Arabidopsis thaliana: one gene and its partners. The protein of the gene in region 2 purifies or fractionates together with the protein of the main gene of each other region. This does not show direct contact. Each region holds a gene or a part of one and is shown on either strand. Other genes may lie near its edges.

Evidence for each region. Proteins that work in one complex are often made in the same cells at the same time.
Region 1: the proteins of AMT1;3 (region 2) and HA7 purify together in Arabidopsis thaliana (affinity purification with mass spectrometry, with the first as the bait; one large-scale study listed by BioGRID). This does not show direct contact.
Region 3: the proteins of AMT1;3 (region 2) and FRO4 purify together in Arabidopsis thaliana (affinity purification with mass spectrometry, with the first as the bait; one large-scale study listed by BioGRID). This does not show direct contact.

The regions. Positions count from the first base shown.
Region 1 is NC_003074.8:22,296,390-22,304,264, forward strand, and holds HA7 (H[+]-ATPase 7), read left to right. Parts: upstream 1-2,136; intron 2,137-2,159; exon of another isoform or gene 2,160-2,320; 5' UTR 2,321-2,373; coding exon 2,374-2,424; intron 2,425-2,526; coding exon 2,527-2,646; intron 2,647-2,737; coding exon 2,738-2,836; intron 2,837-2,974; coding exon 2,975-3,112; intron 3,113-3,187; coding exon 3,188-3,322; coding exon of another isoform or gene 3,323-3,326; intron 3,327-3,408; coding exon 3,409-3,588; intron 3,589-3,676; coding exon 3,677-3,883; intron 3,884-3,964; coding exon 3,965-4,084; intron 4,085-4,183; coding exon 4,184-4,303; intron 4,304-4,398; coding exon 4,399-4,521; intron 4,522-4,628; coding exon 4,629-4,733; intron 4,734-4,816; coding exon 4,817-4,961; intron 4,962-5,063; coding exon 5,064-5,219; intron 5,220-5,306; coding exon 5,307-5,545; intron 5,546-5,638; coding exon 5,639-5,671; intron 5,672-5,745; coding exon 5,746-5,827; intron 5,828-5,921; coding exon 5,922-6,082; intron 6,083-6,168; coding exon 6,169-6,381; and 8 more. Other genes in the region: AT3G60328 (uncharacterized protein), read right to left, coding at 1,978-2,136. UniProt on the Arabidopsis thaliana protein: The plasma membrane H(+) ATPase of plants and fungi generates a proton gradient that drives the active transport of nutrients by H(+)-symport. The resulting external acidification and/or internal alkinization may mediate growth responses.
Region 2 is NC_003074.8:8,804,992-8,809,296, forward strand, and holds AMT1;3 (ammonium transporter 1;3), read right to left. Parts: upstream 2,470-4,305; 5' UTR 2,364-2,469; coding exon 867-2,363; 3' UTR 528-866; downstream 1-527.
Region 3 is NC_003076.8:8,097,432-8,103,065, forward strand, and holds FRO4 (ferric reduction oxidase 4), read right to left. Parts: upstream 3,900-5,634; 5' UTR 3,852-3,899; coding exon 3,698-3,851; intron 3,610-3,697; coding exon 3,513-3,609; intron 3,429-3,512; coding exon 3,249-3,428; intron 2,933-3,248; coding exon 2,698-2,932; intron 2,582-2,697; coding exon 2,254-2,581; intron 2,052-2,253; coding exon 1,814-2,051; intron 1,718-1,813; coding exon 993-1,717; intron 879-992; coding exon 736-878; 3' UTR 547-735; downstream 1-546. Other genes in the region: AT5G23970 (HXXXD-type acyl-transferase family protein), read left to right, coding at 1-181. UniProt on the Arabidopsis thaliana protein: Ferric chelate reductase. May participate in the transport of electrons to a Fe(3+) ion via FAD and heme intermediates.

The DNA.
Region 1 (7,875 bases), about 13 Mb from region 2:
CTTATATAGTTTTATTATATGTACGTAATATATAGAGTGGATCACAACTTGGTTACCAGTACCGACAGAAATAATCTCCACCCATGTTTTAACTTCTCTTTTTTTTCATGTGTAAAGAAATTTTTTGTGTGTTTTCTATCTTTCATTTGGCATGTTTTGTAGATAAATATAGCCAAAAAGAAAGAAAGATATAAGTGTTATATTGACAATACAAGATAATCTCGTAATGTAATAGCTCCAATTGTTGAAAAGAAAAAACAAAAAATATAAAGAGCAGTTTGCCATATATATCAATTGGAAACTATTCAGTTTTAATTCCATTTTCATAGAATTTTTTATAACAATCTCAAATCCAAAAGCTGGAATAAAGATAAGTGAATTGGGCAAGTGACCGTGACGTGACGACCAACATGAACAATTTTTTTTTTTTTCCTTTACACTTCCATTAAAACGAAAATTACAAGCCTTAAAAGCCCATGACGGCCACATAGCCCAATAAAAAGCAACAAAATACATTCATCTGAAGTATATAAACGGCTTCCTGAAAACTTTGAAGTAGCTAAGCAATAGGACGTGAAACACTTATATTTGAAGATTAAACTGGATTGTTACTTTAAGTTTCAATCCAATTTCGTAATGACCAAGTTCGTTTTTAAGTGTAGTCTCATTATTCGAACATCTCGCAGAACATGTTTACTTGACTTGCGCACCAGTTGTTCGTCAAAATGTCCACATGAACTTCTCAAAACACCAGTGTTTCAATGAACTTCATGCTTACATCTTCAAATGATTTTTGCTGATTTTAGTTTCTTTTATTTATTTATATACTATGAGTTCGAGAAACTCTTGGAGTCTTAGAAAGTAGAGTGAAATGCCTATGTTTTCCTTGAGTTGTAATGCCAAAACCAGAAGCTGTAGATTTCAATGGAGAAAACTACAGGACCATGGAAGCTTTATTTTTACAGGCTTTCGCAATCTGAAGATGCACTTTGATGCCTATGGATACTTCTTGACCAGTTGCATGATGTCACATCCAACAAGGTACCACAAATTTCACCCTTATTTTATTATCTTCCGTAATTGGTACGGGCATGGATCTTGCTCTCATTAAACAATAAGAAAACAGAATTAAACAAGGCAAGAAACTTGTCGTCGAAAAGACGTCCGGCTAAATTGTTGTTGTCCACTAAATGGTTCTTTTGTCTTCTGAAGATTTATATGGTCATAAACTTGTCATACATATTTTTAATTATTGATTTTGCTATAATGGACGGTGTTAAGCTCTCAAGAATCTCGGAATATCCTGATTAGCGTAGAAAATATAAAAATCCCAACATTATGGATCACCACTATCTTGAATTGTTTATTATAGATTTTTTACATTTTCTGAGAGTTTTCTTTCTTTCACGTTCTAAGAATAGGACCGTGCTAAATAATGCGATTAAGGGAGAATTTTGATCGAATTATTTGACGCGTGTGCCAATTGTTTTTTTTTGTTTTGTTTGTCCCTCTAACCTTTTCAATAGACAAAAACAGAGGTCAATGCTTTGATTAGCTCGACCTTAGACATTAACAACTTAGTCAGATTTGTTTTTTGACTTTTGTGAATTTTCTTCTCCTGATTACTAGGATTAGGAGTTACAATTAATCTAGGATTCTTACGGAGGTAAAATGTTAGTCAAAAGAAGAAACCTAATGCAGTTTAGTTTAGATTTCTTACTACCCTAATGCCATTAGATGCTGAGAGGGGCTACAATTTTCTACGTCTTCAAATGTACATTGGTAAAGGAATATCTGTTTTCTCAGATCTTTTTTTTTCATCCTTATTTTAATTACATTTTGCGGTAACAATAGTGACAATAAAAAAAGAAGAAGAAGAGTTAGTTGCATTTTGAATGAGTCAGCTTTCTTCTGCATTGGGTTAATCTGGCCGGCAAAATCTTTGAATTCGTTATTATATAGACCTTCTTGTCTTCTTTATATATTGCTTGCATTACACATTTGTCTCAACTTCCAGATTTGCCCCTGGTTTAAAACGATTGTCCTGTTTCCTTTGTGAAGGTCAAGCTTTGAAGGGCTAACGGGTGATGCTTTGGTGAAGGTTTTTTCTGGTCCAGGTTTGTGCTTATTTTGCATTGCTTCTCTTTGATTCACGTCTGCATAAACATCAAATAATTCATTTATGTTTGAGTTGATTATGTAGAAAAAATTATTAGGGGAGATGCTTTATGATAAGAAAAAAAAGTGGTCTTGTGGTATCTTAAGGCAGAAGGAAAATATTTAGTGTCTTAATGAGTAATAGATTTATCTGTCTATCCAGATTTTATAACTGAGTTTTAGTAACTTCCGGCTCAAGCAAAAAGGAAGTTCGATATGACGGACATAGAAGCTCTCAAGGCTATCACCACGGAGAGCATTGATCTGGTATGTACTTTTATACCTCACCACTTTTTTTTTGCAGATGATTGCTTCTGATAGCTTTTATGTCAAATATGAACAAATGCAATTTCTCATGGATCGTTGCAGGAAAATGTTCCCGTTGAAGAGGTTTTTCAACATCTCAAATGCACGAAAGAAGGATTGACCTCCAATGAAGTGCAGGAGCGACTTACCTTGTTTGGTTACAACAAACTTGAGGAGAAAAAGGTTTTAAAAAATGATTTTTCAATCTTGCATTGATCTCTTATTTTCTCTCTATGGATGGTATGTTGATCTCTCTTTCTATTTGGTTCTGCAGGAGAGTAAGATACTCAAGTTCTTGGGATTCATGTGGAATCCACTTTCATGGGTCATGGAAGCTGCAGCCCTCATGGCCATTGGTCTTGCACATGGAGGAGTACGTCTTTTGTTCCCTCTCATTAGTCGTTTCTTTCCACAATATGTAAATACGTAAAATTGTGAAAGGTATAGCTTAACATAGAATTTTAAAACAATTTTGAGAGTCTGAAGAAACTAATTTGTCTCAACTCTTCAGGGAAAGCCAGCGGATTATCACGATTTCGTGGGTATTGTGGTCTTACTTTTGATAAACTCGACAATCAGTTTTGTAGAAGAAAACAATGCTGGAAATGCAGCTGCTGCTCTCATGGCTCAGTTAGCCCCTAAAGCGAAGGTTTAAATTTATTCCTTTTAGTTGCGCTCATTTAAATTTGATGGTAGTAGCTTATTTACAAATCAATTGTTTTAGGCCGTCCGCGATGGCAAATGGAATGAGATAGATGCAGCTGAGTTGGTTCCAGGAGATATAGTTAGTATCAAACTTGGAGATATCATTCCTGCTGATGCTCGTCTTCTTGAAGGAGACCCTTTAAAGATTGACCAGGCAAGTTCTACTTCTAATATTGGTTTATCATTGCTCTGTATCTTATCTCTCCCTTGACTAATCTTGGTTATTTATCTTTTCCTCAGTCAGCACTTACAGGTGAATCTCTTCCGGTAACCAAAAATCCTGGTGCTTCAGTGTACTCTGGTTCAACTTGCAAGCAAGGTGAAATTGAAGCAGTTGTTATAGCGACTGGTGTCCACACTTTCTTTGGAAAGGCGGCTCATCTTGTGGATAGTACTACGCATGTCGGTCACTTCCAGAAGGTTTGTTCTCACTTTGGAGTAAAATATAAAAGTTTACAAAGATTTTGGAGTCAATGACTAAATTTAATCTTTGTATATTGGTTTCCAGGTTTTGACAGCAATAGGAAATTTCTGTATCTGCTCGATTGCAGTAGGAATGGCAATTGAAATCGTTGTTATATACGGTCTTCAAAAGAGAGGGTACCGTGTTGGTATTGATAACCTTCTTGTTTTATTGATTGGTGGGATCCCCATTGCAATGCCTACTGTTCTCTCTGTTACAATGGCAATTGGTGCTCATCGCTTGGCTCAACAGGTCAATACAAGTCTTAAGACAGAGTCAGTTAACTTTTGTTGATTTGTGTTTCTTTATAAATGACTTTAAAATCCATTTCAGGGTGCCATAACAAAGAGAATGACAGCCATTGAAGAAATGGCAGGAATGGATGTTCTGTGCAGTGATAAAACAGGTACTCTCACGCTCAACAAGCTTTCTGTGGATAAGAATCTGATCGAGGTTTGCCTCTTTCCTCTGTTCTTCTTACTTTGTATTTAAAAATCTTGATAGGTTGAGGACGATGATGTAATTAGAGCACTTTCATTTCTTTTAAAACAGGTTTTTAAGAGGGGCATCGACAGAGATATGGCTGTGCTTATGGCTGCAAGAGCTGCACGTTTAGAGAACCAAGATGCTATTGATACTGCAATTGTTTCGATGTTGTCAGACCCGAAAGAGGTATTAATTAAAGACTCAACTTTCAAGTAAACAAGATTCAGTTACTTTCAAAGGTATAAACATTGTGATGTATTGATCTGATACTTTGTCTTCAGGCACGTGCCGGGATTAAAGAACTCCATTTTCTTCCATTCAGTCCAGCTAATAGAAGAACTGCACTAACGTACCTAGACGGAGAAGGCAAAATGCACCGAGTGAGCAAAGGCGCGCCTGAAGAGGTTATAACCTTTGCTGTCAACTTTCTTTATAAATAGCTATTACTACATTACTTTAAGTTTACCCACTGTTTCCTAAGATATTGTTCTGATGATTTGTCCTTCTCTAGATTTTGGATATGGCCCACAACAAATTAGAAATCAAGGAGAAAGTACATGCTACAATCGACAAATTTGCAGAACGTGGCCTAAGATCGCTTGGGTTGGCATATCAGGTAATTATGTTTTAAATGTGGCACTTGTTTTAAATGGGATAACTCCTACGATTCCATTGTAACGATCCCTTTTCCAATAATAGGAAGTACCAGATGGTGATGTTAAAGGTGAAGGTGGTCCATGGGACTTTGTAGCTCTTCTTCCTCTGTTTGATCCTCCTCGTCATGACAGTGCACAGACAATTGAGCGAGCACTTCATCTTGGAGTCAGTGTTAAAATGATCACAGGTAAAGAGCCAGTCTTTAGCTCCTTTCCGCCATATCATTAGGTCCTACTCCACCTTGGATTCTTGTGTATTCATAAAATGTCAAAAATCTCAATACTTGCAGGTGACCAGCTTGCAATTGCCAAAGAAACAGGAAGAAGGCTTGGAATGGGCACAAACATGTACCCATCTTCATCTTTGCTTTCTGATAACAACACTGAAGGAGTTTCTGTCGATGAACTTATCGAGAACGCAGATGGTTTTGCAGGAGTCTTTCCTGGTAATGCTACTTACTTGTAAACTTCATTTGTAACTATGATCTTTGAGAGATATCTGACATTGACAACCCCCTTTTTCTGATTTTTAGAGCATAAGTATGAGATTGTGAAGAGATTACAATCCCGAAAACACATATGTGGTATGACTGGTGATGGAGTGAATGACGCACCTGCCTTGAAGAAAGCTGATATTGGAATTGCTGTGGATGATGCCACTGATGCTGCTCGGGGTGCTTCTGATATTGTCTTAACAGAACCTGGACTTAGTGTTATCATCAGTGCTGTCTTGACTAGCCGTGCAATTTTCCAGAGAATGAAAAATTACACGGTACATAAATGCTTCTGCCTCATTGGCTATTACCTGATAAAGTTTAAATTGAATGCTTATATTGAATTTTTTTGGTTTACCTTCATTTTGCAGATATATGCTGTTTCTATCACTATACGTATTGTCGTAAGTTTCTCAGTCGAAATTGCATCAGATTTTCACAAATACTTGGTCTTATTTTCTATACCTTTGTGTTACAGATGGGTTTCATGCTTCTATGTGTCTTCTGGGAGTTTGACTTCCCTCCATTCATGGTTCTTGTAATTGCAATCCTTAACGATGGTTAGTAACTGTTAACTCCCTCGATGATTTAGCTTACGGCTTTTGCTGGTGCTTGAAGCATTCACCCTGCTAAATTTGCTTTCCTGTTGAAAAGGTACTATAATGACCATATCCAAGGACAGAGTCAAGCCTTCTCCAACTCCAGATTGTTGGAAACTCAAAGAAATTTTTGCTACTGGTGTTGTGCTTGGAGCTTACTTGGCGATCATGACTGTTGTGTTTTTCTGGGCAGCATACGAAACCAACTTCTTCCATGTAAGCTACACACTATCCCTCTCCTTGTTTACTCTAATTTCAACTGTCAGCAAAATATAACTATACTTTTTTCCCTTTTGTGGTAGAACATTTTCCATGTGAGAAACTTCAACCAGCACCATTTCAAAATGAAAGACAAGAAAGTGGCTGCACATTTGAATGAACAGATGGCTTCCGCGGTCTACCTTCAAGTCAGCACGATCAGCCAAGCGTTGATCTTCGTGACCCGTTCCAGGAGCTGGTCATTTGTTGAGCGTCCCGGTTTTCTTCTTGTAATTGCTTTCCTAATAGCTCAGCTGGTAAAGAGATTTCCGTCACCTATCTCATTATTTTCCTTAGTTACTTACCTCTTTGTTTATAGTTTGTTAATAGAATCCAACTCTGTATTATTTTGATAGGTTGCATCGGTGATATCGGCAATGGCAAATTGGCCTTTTGCTGGAATCAGAAGCATTGGATGGGGTTGGACTGGAGTTATCTGGATATTCAACATAGTAACTTACATGTTACTTGATCCTATCAAATTCCTAGTCCGTTATGCTCTAAGTGGCAAATCATGGGACCGAATGGTCGAGGGGAGGGTACGTAGACCAAAAAAAAGACAGAATCACTTAACTCTAAATTCGGTACTTCACAATTACGTTGGCCTAACTAGAACTCGTGATTTGTTTGCAGACTGCACTCACAGGAAAGAAGAATTTTGGCCAAGAAGAAAGAATGGCTGCGTGGGCCACCGAGAAGCGTACACAGCACGGTTTAGAGACGGGTCAAAAGCCAGTTTATGAGAGAAATAGCGCAACGGAACTTAACAATATGGCTGAGGAAGCTAAAAGGCGTGCAGAAATTGCAAGGTTAGTTTTTTTTTTATATTAGAGATCGTTAGTCTCTGTCATGTTTGAGAGATGATCTCATTTCTAGTATGCTGATGAATTTTGCAGAATGAGAGAGCTTCAGACATTGAAGGGGAAGGTTGAATCAGCTGCAAAGCTGAAAGGCTATGATCTTGAGGATCCTAACAGCAACAACTACACAATCTGAGACAGTCTCAATCTCTGCTTAGTTCATTTTGTCTTTTATTTTCGATGTATTATTATTAATTCTTCTTGATATATTGACATTAGTTTTGATATCTTTGTGGAAGATGTCTCACATGTTGTAATCTTTCAATTGATGCCTGTAACTTTCTTACTTTTTATTTGATGAAAATTCTTATTTGATTGGTTTTGTTCGGTTCTTTACTGAAATAAAACCAAACCGAGTCAAACCAAACTAGACTAAACCGTCTGAACACAACTCGAACCAAACTAACTATGGTTGAGGACACTCGAACCAAACTAACTATGGTTGAGGTCCGCTAGAGTTTTATTACAACCGAATTAACCGAACCGAAAATAAACCGAAATGCACCCCCTAACTACACCTAACGCAAAAGAATATACTCCACAGAGATGTTTGTTTTTTTAACCAGACCGGTTTAAATTTGTTTCTTTTCAGATAGAACAGAAGTATCCAAGTCTTTTAAAGTTTTAATTCTCGCAAACCAACAATTACTGTTTGACTAATTACTTCTCACGCGCCAAATTCGCACGTGTAAGACAACCCAACTAAAAGTTAACTAACTCACAAGTGCGTGCTCCACACGTGCCTATCTGTTGATAAGAATGCCACAATTTTCATCTCATATTCTCATTGAACAAAAATAATAAATTCTCAGTGATCCTTCGAGAGATTGATTATAAAATCCGGTCGGCGACGAGACTTACTTTCGCCGCAAAATTTGTTCTCCGGTACCG
Region 2 (4,305 bases):
ACTAATATGCACAAAAAGATGATGTGCAAGGTATAAGCTACTGGAATTGCATCGTAATTCCATGATTCTACAGGTCTCGAAAGTGTATACAAACAAGGAATATATGTTATAAAAATTTTTGTTTAGCAGAATTTGAAATAAATAAAAAATACTATTGAAATATTAGGTGCTAAAATTTATCAACCACAAAATATGGGTCATACTCCTTTGTTTAAAGTTATCGAGGACGCAAGAATTTGATTTATATTTTAATTTTAGTTTGTACGATTAATAGCAACAATTGTTAGGCTAATAAAACCCATTAGGCTTAGTTCAATAGTTCTAAACAAGTGACCAGTTACATAGATGTAATGACATGTCATATTTCTTCTAGTATTATTTATTAACCAACATCGTTCAAGTAAAAGATAATATCTACGTGTACCTAAGCGTGGCTAGTTAACTAATTGGAAAAAATCGCTTTACGTGTACATAAGGGAATGACTAAGTTCTGCTTTTGGTACGAAATGGTACACAAATGATTTTTCAGAATTTATATTATTCTAAGAACAACTTTTGTGTACTCCAATTTCCTAATGCCGTCGGCAGAACAAAAACCTAAGCAAAGTTGTATACAGTATATGCATAACTCTCCTTTTTGGATCACCAAAAGTTGTATATATAAATTTCTAAGAAATAGCATAAACATTAGCCGAGGCATGTAAAATTAAAATTCAAGAAAAAAAAAAAAAACATAAACTAAAACACTTATAAACACAAAAAGACGATAGGTCACTTAAAACAAACCAAAACATCCAAATATTTATATTTCAAAACCAAAACCCAAACAATACTTAAACGGTAATAAATTACCAAAAAGTTGAAAATTAAACGCGAGGAGGAGTAGCTGATCGAGGGAAAGGAGATCCAGGATCCACTCTATGAGACTCATCATCATTATCATGGTAGATATAAGCAAAGCCACCGTGACGTGTCATATCCATCCCTTGCATTTCATGCTGCTCCGAGATCCTAAGCAGATTGAGCCTTTTGAGGATGAAGAAGAGTGTTCCCATTGTGGCACTAACCCATCCTACAATCACAAGTATTTGAACCAATTGTGCTCCCAACAGCTTCCCTCCTCCGCCCATAAATAGTCCATATGGCCTTCCCGGGGTGGCGCCATAAACCTCGTTTAGATACTTCTCTTTGGCAAACAATCCTACGAATATCAACCCCCACGCGCCACACCCTCCATGTAGTTGGGCTGCCTCGAGTGGATCATCATATTGTACAAGCTCCGCGAGCTTGTTGCATCCGATAAGGACGACAGAAGCCATGAAGCCGCACACAATCGCTGCCCATGGCTCTACGACGGAGCAACCTGCGGTTATGGCCGCAAACCCACCGAGTAACCCGTTGCAAACGTCCGTTACGTTCCAGTGGCCTGATAGGAGACGTTTACCAAAGAGTGTGGTTAGAGCTGCTGTGCATCCTGAGAGTGTGGTGTTAACCGCTGTACGGCCGATTCCGCTCCATTGGCCGTAGTTGGAACCAGAATTATACGGAACGAGTATCTTAGTGAAGGAACCGGGGTTGAAACCATACCATCCAAACCATAGGAGGAAGGTTCCTAAGACTACTAGCGAGGCAGAGTGGCCGCGCAGAGCAATAGCGCGACCACCTTTCTCGAACCGACCACGACGAGGACCTTCAATAAGAGCACCCCATAAACCTGCTATGCCACCAACCATGTGAACAACACCGGAGCCAGCAAAGTCAATGGCTCCGGTGCTAAACAAACGATCATCCGCTGAACGAAAGGGACTGGCCCATCCATCCGGGGACCAAAACCAGTGAGAGACAACCGGGTAAACAAATCCGGTTAAGAAAGAAGAGTATATCAAGTAAGCCACGAACTGAGTCCTCTCTGCGATCGAACCACTTGTGATTCCAGCGGCCGCGATTGCGAACGCCCATTGGTAGAGGAAGAAAGAGTAATCAGCTGTGGGAGTCGGAAAGTCTCTAAGAGCAAAGTTGTGTCTTCCAATGAACCCTTCGGAGGATCCTCCAAAGGCAAAGGCGTAACCAAAGAGATAGTAGAAGAGTCCTCCGGCTGCAGCGTCAAGGACATTGGTAAGCATGATGTTCATCGTATTCTTGGCTCTAACAGAACCAGCACAAAGCATAGCGAAGCCGAGCTGCATGGCGAAGACAAGGTAGGCAGAGAAGAGGAGGTAGGTGTTGTCTATGGCGAAGGCTGCATCGGTGAACTTGTTGTTAACGGTGCCTAATTGGCCGCAAATGTAGTCGGCCGCCGCCGTGGCGTTGGGGCCAAGTAGGGTGGCGAGATCGGCCGCAGAGCATGTTATTGCTCCTGACATGTTTGAGAGAGCTGAGAGAGAGAAAGAGAGATACGGAGAAGAAAGGTTGTCTCTTGTGTGTCTCTTAAAAGGAAGAAGGAGGAGTTTAGGGTTGACTTTAGATTCCGGCTAGACCAATTAAGTTCGTATTTAAGAGAGTTTATCAATTATTTAAGAAGTTATGTGACGTAACAACATTATTGAATTAGAGATGTAATCTGCCAAATCTTCTTAATAACTTGCAAATTACGATCCTAATCCTATACGGTTTTTGGTGATTAAGTGATTGCCATGTAATGTGTGAATAAAAAAAAGGTAAATTAAAGGCTTGTATAAAAAAATTACAAAAATAAATTTGTGAATAAAATTGATACTAGTATTTAAAGTAATAAATCAAAGAATAATTGTCCTAGCTCAACCGTATATGTTCAAGCAAACCGATCAGAACTTACTACATAGATGTCGATTTTAGATCAGCAGTTTTATGAAATTAAGTCAAGATTCAGCACTCTTTATACGACAATCTTATGATAATCTTGCAAAATTTTAATAAAGTTCATAACCAAATATTAATTAAGTTTGCTGAAGGTTGAAACCAAAAATGATAACATGGGTTAGCGGGAACCACGTTTTATTTGCTGAAAATTGCACTTTACACCCTTAACTCTTAGATATGTCCAAAATTACTCAGATCATCAACAGAAGCATTAAAAAAAATTATCTTGGTTTTGTATAATAATACTACATGCATGTATAAAGTATTCAATTAGGAAAACAAAAAAATGAAGACACACGACATATAGTTTCAAGCAAGAGATATATACAATAATTCGATCCAATTGACATTGAAACCTATTAACAGTTCATGAATAATTCACGTTTATACCAAAACAAAAACATTCATGTTTAAGATATATATATATATATATATATATATATATTTTAAGATATTTAATGATTGAAAAAAGACATTTATCTCTCAGTTTGTGCCAAGCCATGAAAATTCAAGTCAAGTATTACTTTTAGGAACATGATGATCTCTTTTGATCAAAAATCTATTATGATGTATTTGAATAAATATACTTAAAAGTTGTTACAAGTGCTGATGTTTCACCAATAGGCTTTTTATTGTCACTAACTAGTTCTAAAAACTGAAAGCTTTCTATATATGTATGTGTGTGTGTGTCTGACCTTAATCATGTTTTAAGTCAACCTAACTTAATCATTATGGGAGACACTTGTGACTTGTTATCTATATATTTACTGATGAGTTGTAAATGAGAGTTGACACTCAGAAAAATAGACAAAGCAAACTGTTTTCTAAAATAATGAACGTTAAATTATGCACATATTTTAGTAGACGGTAGCTTTCTAAATCGTACAAAATAATGTCAAGAATTGACGTGACATCATTGATTACCACATAACAAATATTGATTCTTTAGTAATACGTAGTAACTATTGATTAATTGTAGTACATATTTTTTAATTTAGGTCAACTGAAAATTATAAATGTAAAATTGTTTACTAAATACGAAAAGCCATAGTAAGTGATTTACATTATATTGGTTTATGAAATAAAACTAAAGCAGGCTTGTTATACTGTGTAACTAGGTAAGCACCACGGCTCGACGCAATAGCACGTTAGGGAGTCTATAGCTCGCCTCTATGCATATCAAAATTCACAATTTTTGTTCGTGAAATTCTTTTTTTATCCTCTGATGTTAGAAACCAAAGGCATCATAAGAAAAATTGCGATAATCAAGACTTTTGCATTAACTTTTGTGCCAAAAAACAATTACGCCAAGAGTGGTAGACTTTGCATTGCTTCATGATGACTTTAAAGAACCCTGCTGGATTCTAAGTAGTACCATTCAAATCTATTGTTTCCAGCTAGTTCTATATATTTTAAAGAATGAGTTATTGACTCTATTAGTCTCTAATTATTATACTTCTTAGATTT
Region 3 (5,634 bases), on a different chromosome or scaffold from region 2:
GGGGAAGCCGGTTTGGGTTGCCCCAGATTCAGTTGATAAGACGCAGGTCGTGTTAATGGACTCAAAGGACAGTGAAGGGGTTGAGGCAAGGGTTACACTACCTGAAACCGACATGGCTAAGTATGAGCATGATAGTGAACTACTCGTTTACGCTACTCCAAGTCCTAGTATCCTCATCTAGTAATAATTATGTTTATCAAACAAGTCTAAACATAGACCGGTTAAAAAATGGACTTGTGCTATAGAATAAAAGTGACCTTTGCTATACTACTTGGATCTGTTTTAATTTTATAAGATGTTTTAACGCATTACAGTATTTTTATTTCATCTAATTGCAATCTAATTATATTTCACTTAATTTACTATATAAGTTTAAAGTGGTATAGATTAGTGGTCAAATAGACTTTAAATCAAACACGTAAACATTTATGTAATTTTTTCCCAAAATTAAATATCTTACGATATGAAACAGAAGGAAGTAATGAATATGAAAGAAAAATGAAGAAAGAGAAAAGCAAAAAAAGTTAACAAAGAAAAAACACTCACTAAGTCTATAATGGGCTCAATAGGATTAATGATGATTAGAAATTGATAATAATGAAGGTGCAGGATAACATATACATTAACATTCCATTTTAAATTGTATTAAAAATAGAAAATCAAACAGCAAACCATCTAAAACATCAAAAGTTATTACGATGAATATAAACACACATAGTTAGAACATGGAATACATCACCAGTTGAAACTAATTGCCTCAAAGTGAAGGTTCTTAGCCAAACCAGATGAACATATCTTTGCAACTTCATGTCTCATCTTTCTTGGTCCGCAAACCATCACCCCAACGTCTTCTGAACCCTCAGCCTCAAGTAGAATCTCTGCAAAGCGACAAGGTTAAAGTATCAGATTCATGCATATGTAATTTCACTTACACCATTTATGTAATGTAAGTGATGCTATCATGTCGAATATAGTGGTAATAGATTACTTACTTTTCAGATTAGGTTTGGAGCCGAAGTGGACTGAAGTGGCTTGTACTATAGATTGATAGGGAACACTCTCGAGCTCTCTCTCGTGGCCGTGGAACCATGAACCTGGAGAAGAAGTGGGTGTCTGAAACTCTACGCTTTGTACCTGATTCTTGAACTCCTTATCCCCTTCTTTGTTCTGTTTCTTGCGCCATAAGAAAACTACACTGGAAGAGATGAAAATGCACGCACTTCCTAGAAACATGTCCCAAAGCCCTCTATATGAGAAATTGTAGATGGATCCTGTATTATGGTCAACAGGGTATATATAGTAACGTGTGACGATCCCTATGAGCAAGAGAAACATGACGAATGATGATAAGATCACAACTCCGAGCCAGAGGAAGTTGTTTGGTCCAAGAACAGGTGAGATAGGAGAGTCTAGAGGCTGCGGTTTAAACCATTTTGTTTGAAGAAGTCTGTGGTCATCAGTTGTCTCGGGCTTCTTGTCTTCTCTTGTAATATAGGCCTCAATTCGGAGATTCAGCCTAGAAATGTCAGAGGCTGACATATCCAGTGGGAAGATTAGGTCTAAAAACGCAAGATCATGGTAATGTTTAAAAGAACAAACAAGAAGAACATCTGGTAGCTTTGTGCTCTTGTTTTGGCTCTGAGATATGAGTTCTCTGATAACCGAAATGAAGGGTGTAATTCCGCTTCCACCGCTCACTAGTATTAGAGAGTTATGCCTATATAAGACGAAAATGATGGAGACAATATAATTAGACTAACTTAAGATAAAGTAATTAAGTATGAAACTGAAATAACACCTTTGAGTTTTGTACCTTGAGACATCAAAAGAGTTAGGGCCATACGGACCCTCAGTAGAAACTTCGAGAGAATCAATGGAAGAAGAGAGATGTGTGTAAAGCTTTTGAGTCCAACTTCCCTGTCTTCTGATTACAACACTTAATGTATCTTTCTCTAAGTTGCTGCTCGAAGTTATAGTAAATGGATGCCATTGAATCTTCGAAATGCTTGGCACATGTAGAAACAATATGCTTGTTGGGGTATAATGTAGCCCTATAGTTAGTAAAACAAATGGTTACAACAATCATGAAGCATGCATCTCTCTCTTGAACGTGGCACTCTAGTTCAAATTAAAATGCAAATACTATTCAAAGTATATAATTAATTAAAATCCAATTTTATATTATATTTCTCTTTCAGATTATAAACCCAAAACATTTGAATGTCAACGTAAATGGATGAACTAGTTATAAACCTGGGGTTTTGGAGAAAGTGAGTTCGAGGTTGTCTGAAGGTAAGATCCTAGCAGACACAAGTCTGGATCTCTTGGTGGATTGTAAGAATCTCAAGTATCGGTCTATAAAAAAGAGAAAGATGTTTGGCAAGATCATGCAGAACCACGAGTCTCCCACGTGGATTACGTAGAAGACTATATAGAGACCGTAGAGATGGTGAGTGTAGAAGAAAATCTCAAACTTCTTTCGTCTAAAGGATGGTAAACTCGTCACCCACATCGCTATTCCAATCACCATCGCTATTGTTCCGGCCAGATTAGGCACATATGTTGGATTCCATGCAAACGTCTTCACATATATAAGAAAACGTAAAAACAAATATCAGTTGGAATAAAAGAAAGAATGAAAGTTTTGTTTTGTTTTGTTTTAAGGATAAGATTAAGGTAGATGCATGTAACACGGACCTCCATCAACTTATTGATCATGGCCCAGTAGATAAGGAAAACGACTGTGTGAACGAGGAAGCAAAAATTTGAGACATGTCCAAGCCAAATGTGATATTTTATACTTGACTCTGACGTTAACCCGACAAGTGGCAGAATCGTAGAGGCTCTTGTCACCGGGAAGAACAAAAAGGCCCAACAGATGTTGCCCACATATCCTATTCTCAGGCCGAAAGCCCTAAACTTTGCCTGCCATCTGCACCATTTGAATCAATGTTCAATCAAATTCTCCTATGGATTTAAATATCTGTTTCTTTTTTAAGGATGTAAATATTTTGGTACTATGCATGGATGGGATATACTAATAATGGCAGTGCAAAAAATGCGCCGTTGTTTTTGGTCTATTTCATCCGCTATAGCGTAACCATGTGAAAATGATGACTTATCGAATTCAAATCTAGTAATAAGTGAGATGTTCATATCTTTTATATAAAACATAGTGTTGAATTATCTCCATGTGATATTTTGATAAATCATTTTCAAATGGAAGTAGAAAACAAATAGAAGCTTACATTTTTGCGTTGTCGTCGTTATGAAGGTGGACGTGATAGCTAAGGTAGAGATAATTGTAGAGGGACCAAGCCAAAAGAGCAACAAACAATAGAGAAAAAGTTAACTCCGTGGCTGTCACTATCCCCAATGGGTTCATCACCATAATCACCCTCCCCATTATCCTTTTTAGCTTCCATTCTCTGCATTCATATAAATAGGATTGTGATAATTTATTGCAAATATTTACATGTTGTCAATAAAAATAAAAGTATAACAAGTTGTACCTTTGAGGTTGGGTTGGTTTCTTCTGGATATGCAAATAAACACAACTTAGAACCGCAATGAACATCATGGGAACCGTGAGAAGCACAAGATTCGTGCCTAGACATACAAGATATAATTCTTGAATACTCAAAATAAAGGAATCAAAATATTAAAATGTGAGATAATTAAATCGAGAAATTAATACCTTGAGGGCCAAAATAAGTAGTATTGAGATACTTGGAGAGTTTCGGGGTCCATTTGCTTTTAAAAAGATTAGTTGAAATCATAATCCAAACCAAAATCCATCCAAGAAATAGAACCACCATTAACGTCTTCACTAAGCTTCTCATATTTCCCATTTTTTCTCGTTTATATATTTATCCACAATGTATTGATGTATAATTGCGGAAAAGTTTCTTGATTTGCTATTTATAGCTGAAGGGAGGGGTAATGTCGTAGTCTTATATAAATGTTGTATGCTAAGAGCAACTCCATTGCACAAATAAGTTGAGTGTCTTCTTACACTTAAAATATAATATATTCAAAATAAATATTATTTTAATTTTTGAATGTCTTTAAAGTAAAGACACATTGTCTTAAATGTCTAAATAGAGACATTTTTGAGAGGATGTCTCTAATTTAAATATCCTTCATATTTGATTATTAATATTTTGTAAATTTAATATTTTAATATTGTTAAAGACATCTTCTTTCTATTATGTAATGTAGTTGCTCTAAGATTTGTTTGTGGATTCCCCTGCCTATGTTTTGACCGTTGGATGTTGATGTTTTTTTATTGAAAAAAAACAGTCGTGAGCAAGCACATAAACCTAAACACATAAACCTGGTTAGCTATTATATATATAGATTATCTCCCAATTGCCAGCAGAATATATACACAATATAAAATACATAACGCATATATCATAAATTTGTGGCCCGCGAATTGTATCAAAATTTATTTAGAAAAATAATTAGCCAAACATTGATCGGGTCATCGGTTTATGAAATTGAAAGCTTTCTGCATTTGATCGTATTTGTATATTTTGTTTCTGAATATGTAGATTTCTAACCATTTTCCTAAGGATAAAAAGTTTAGGGACATGGTGTATATTATTTTTTTTTTTTTCGTTTTTACTGGAAAACTTTTTATTTTCGGTTGGTCAGTTACTGGTATCACATTTTAGATCTGTTAGAAAATTTGGACAGTAAACTATTCAACGAATACATTAGATTAGTTGGATAGTGAGCCTGAAGTATCTCTAGTTAACAAAATATTTCCTTTTCCATATGAAGTTTCGTATGCATATCTATACACTATTGTGGGAGTATGTAGATACTTTAAGTTTTTTTCTTTTAACTCCATATTGTCTTTTTTTTTTTTATGTTTTTCCAAAGTCATTGTACACATAATTTATCTTTTTATTCATTGTATTGAGGTTTAAATTTTAAAATTTTGGGGAGGAGAAAACGAGGCTAGAATCTCGGACCTAAAGATAGCACAATCTAGCCTAGTGACTTTCCACCATCTCTTCTAGATGACAATTTTACAAAGCAGATGCAAAGATAGGTGAAAAAATCTGAAAAGTATCTATCTACATACTGAGTTCAGGATAACATAATAAGAGGTTGAAATGAAAATGTTGAATGACTATTCATCTCACCTTTTACCATTTGAAATGAATATATTGGAAAATTGATTCAACCCATTCAGCCAAAAATTGAAAAAATAAACAAATTATAAAAAAAAATTGTTCAACTCTTTCATCTACTATTTTACAGAGGGATGAGTTGAATGATGTTCAACTTTGTTTTGTTCAACTCAAAATTTTCCAATCATTCCACTATATGTCATCCATTTGCAGAATTTTCTAAATCATATCTCATCTTGAGATATTAAGTAATTCAAAAAAAAAAATAATCGTTAAGAATATTGTAAGAAGGAGTTATAAAGGGTCTCTTAGAAAACATCTATGGACCCAAAAACAACCTCTTTACATTTGTAAATCAAAAGATATGATACAACGTTCCTAAACACTTGGTCAACCAAACTCCTTTAAAAATAGAGAAAGATTTTTTAGTTAAATCCGCAGCTTGGGCACTTCGAACATATTTGATATCGTGTCTATTGTTATCTAATGC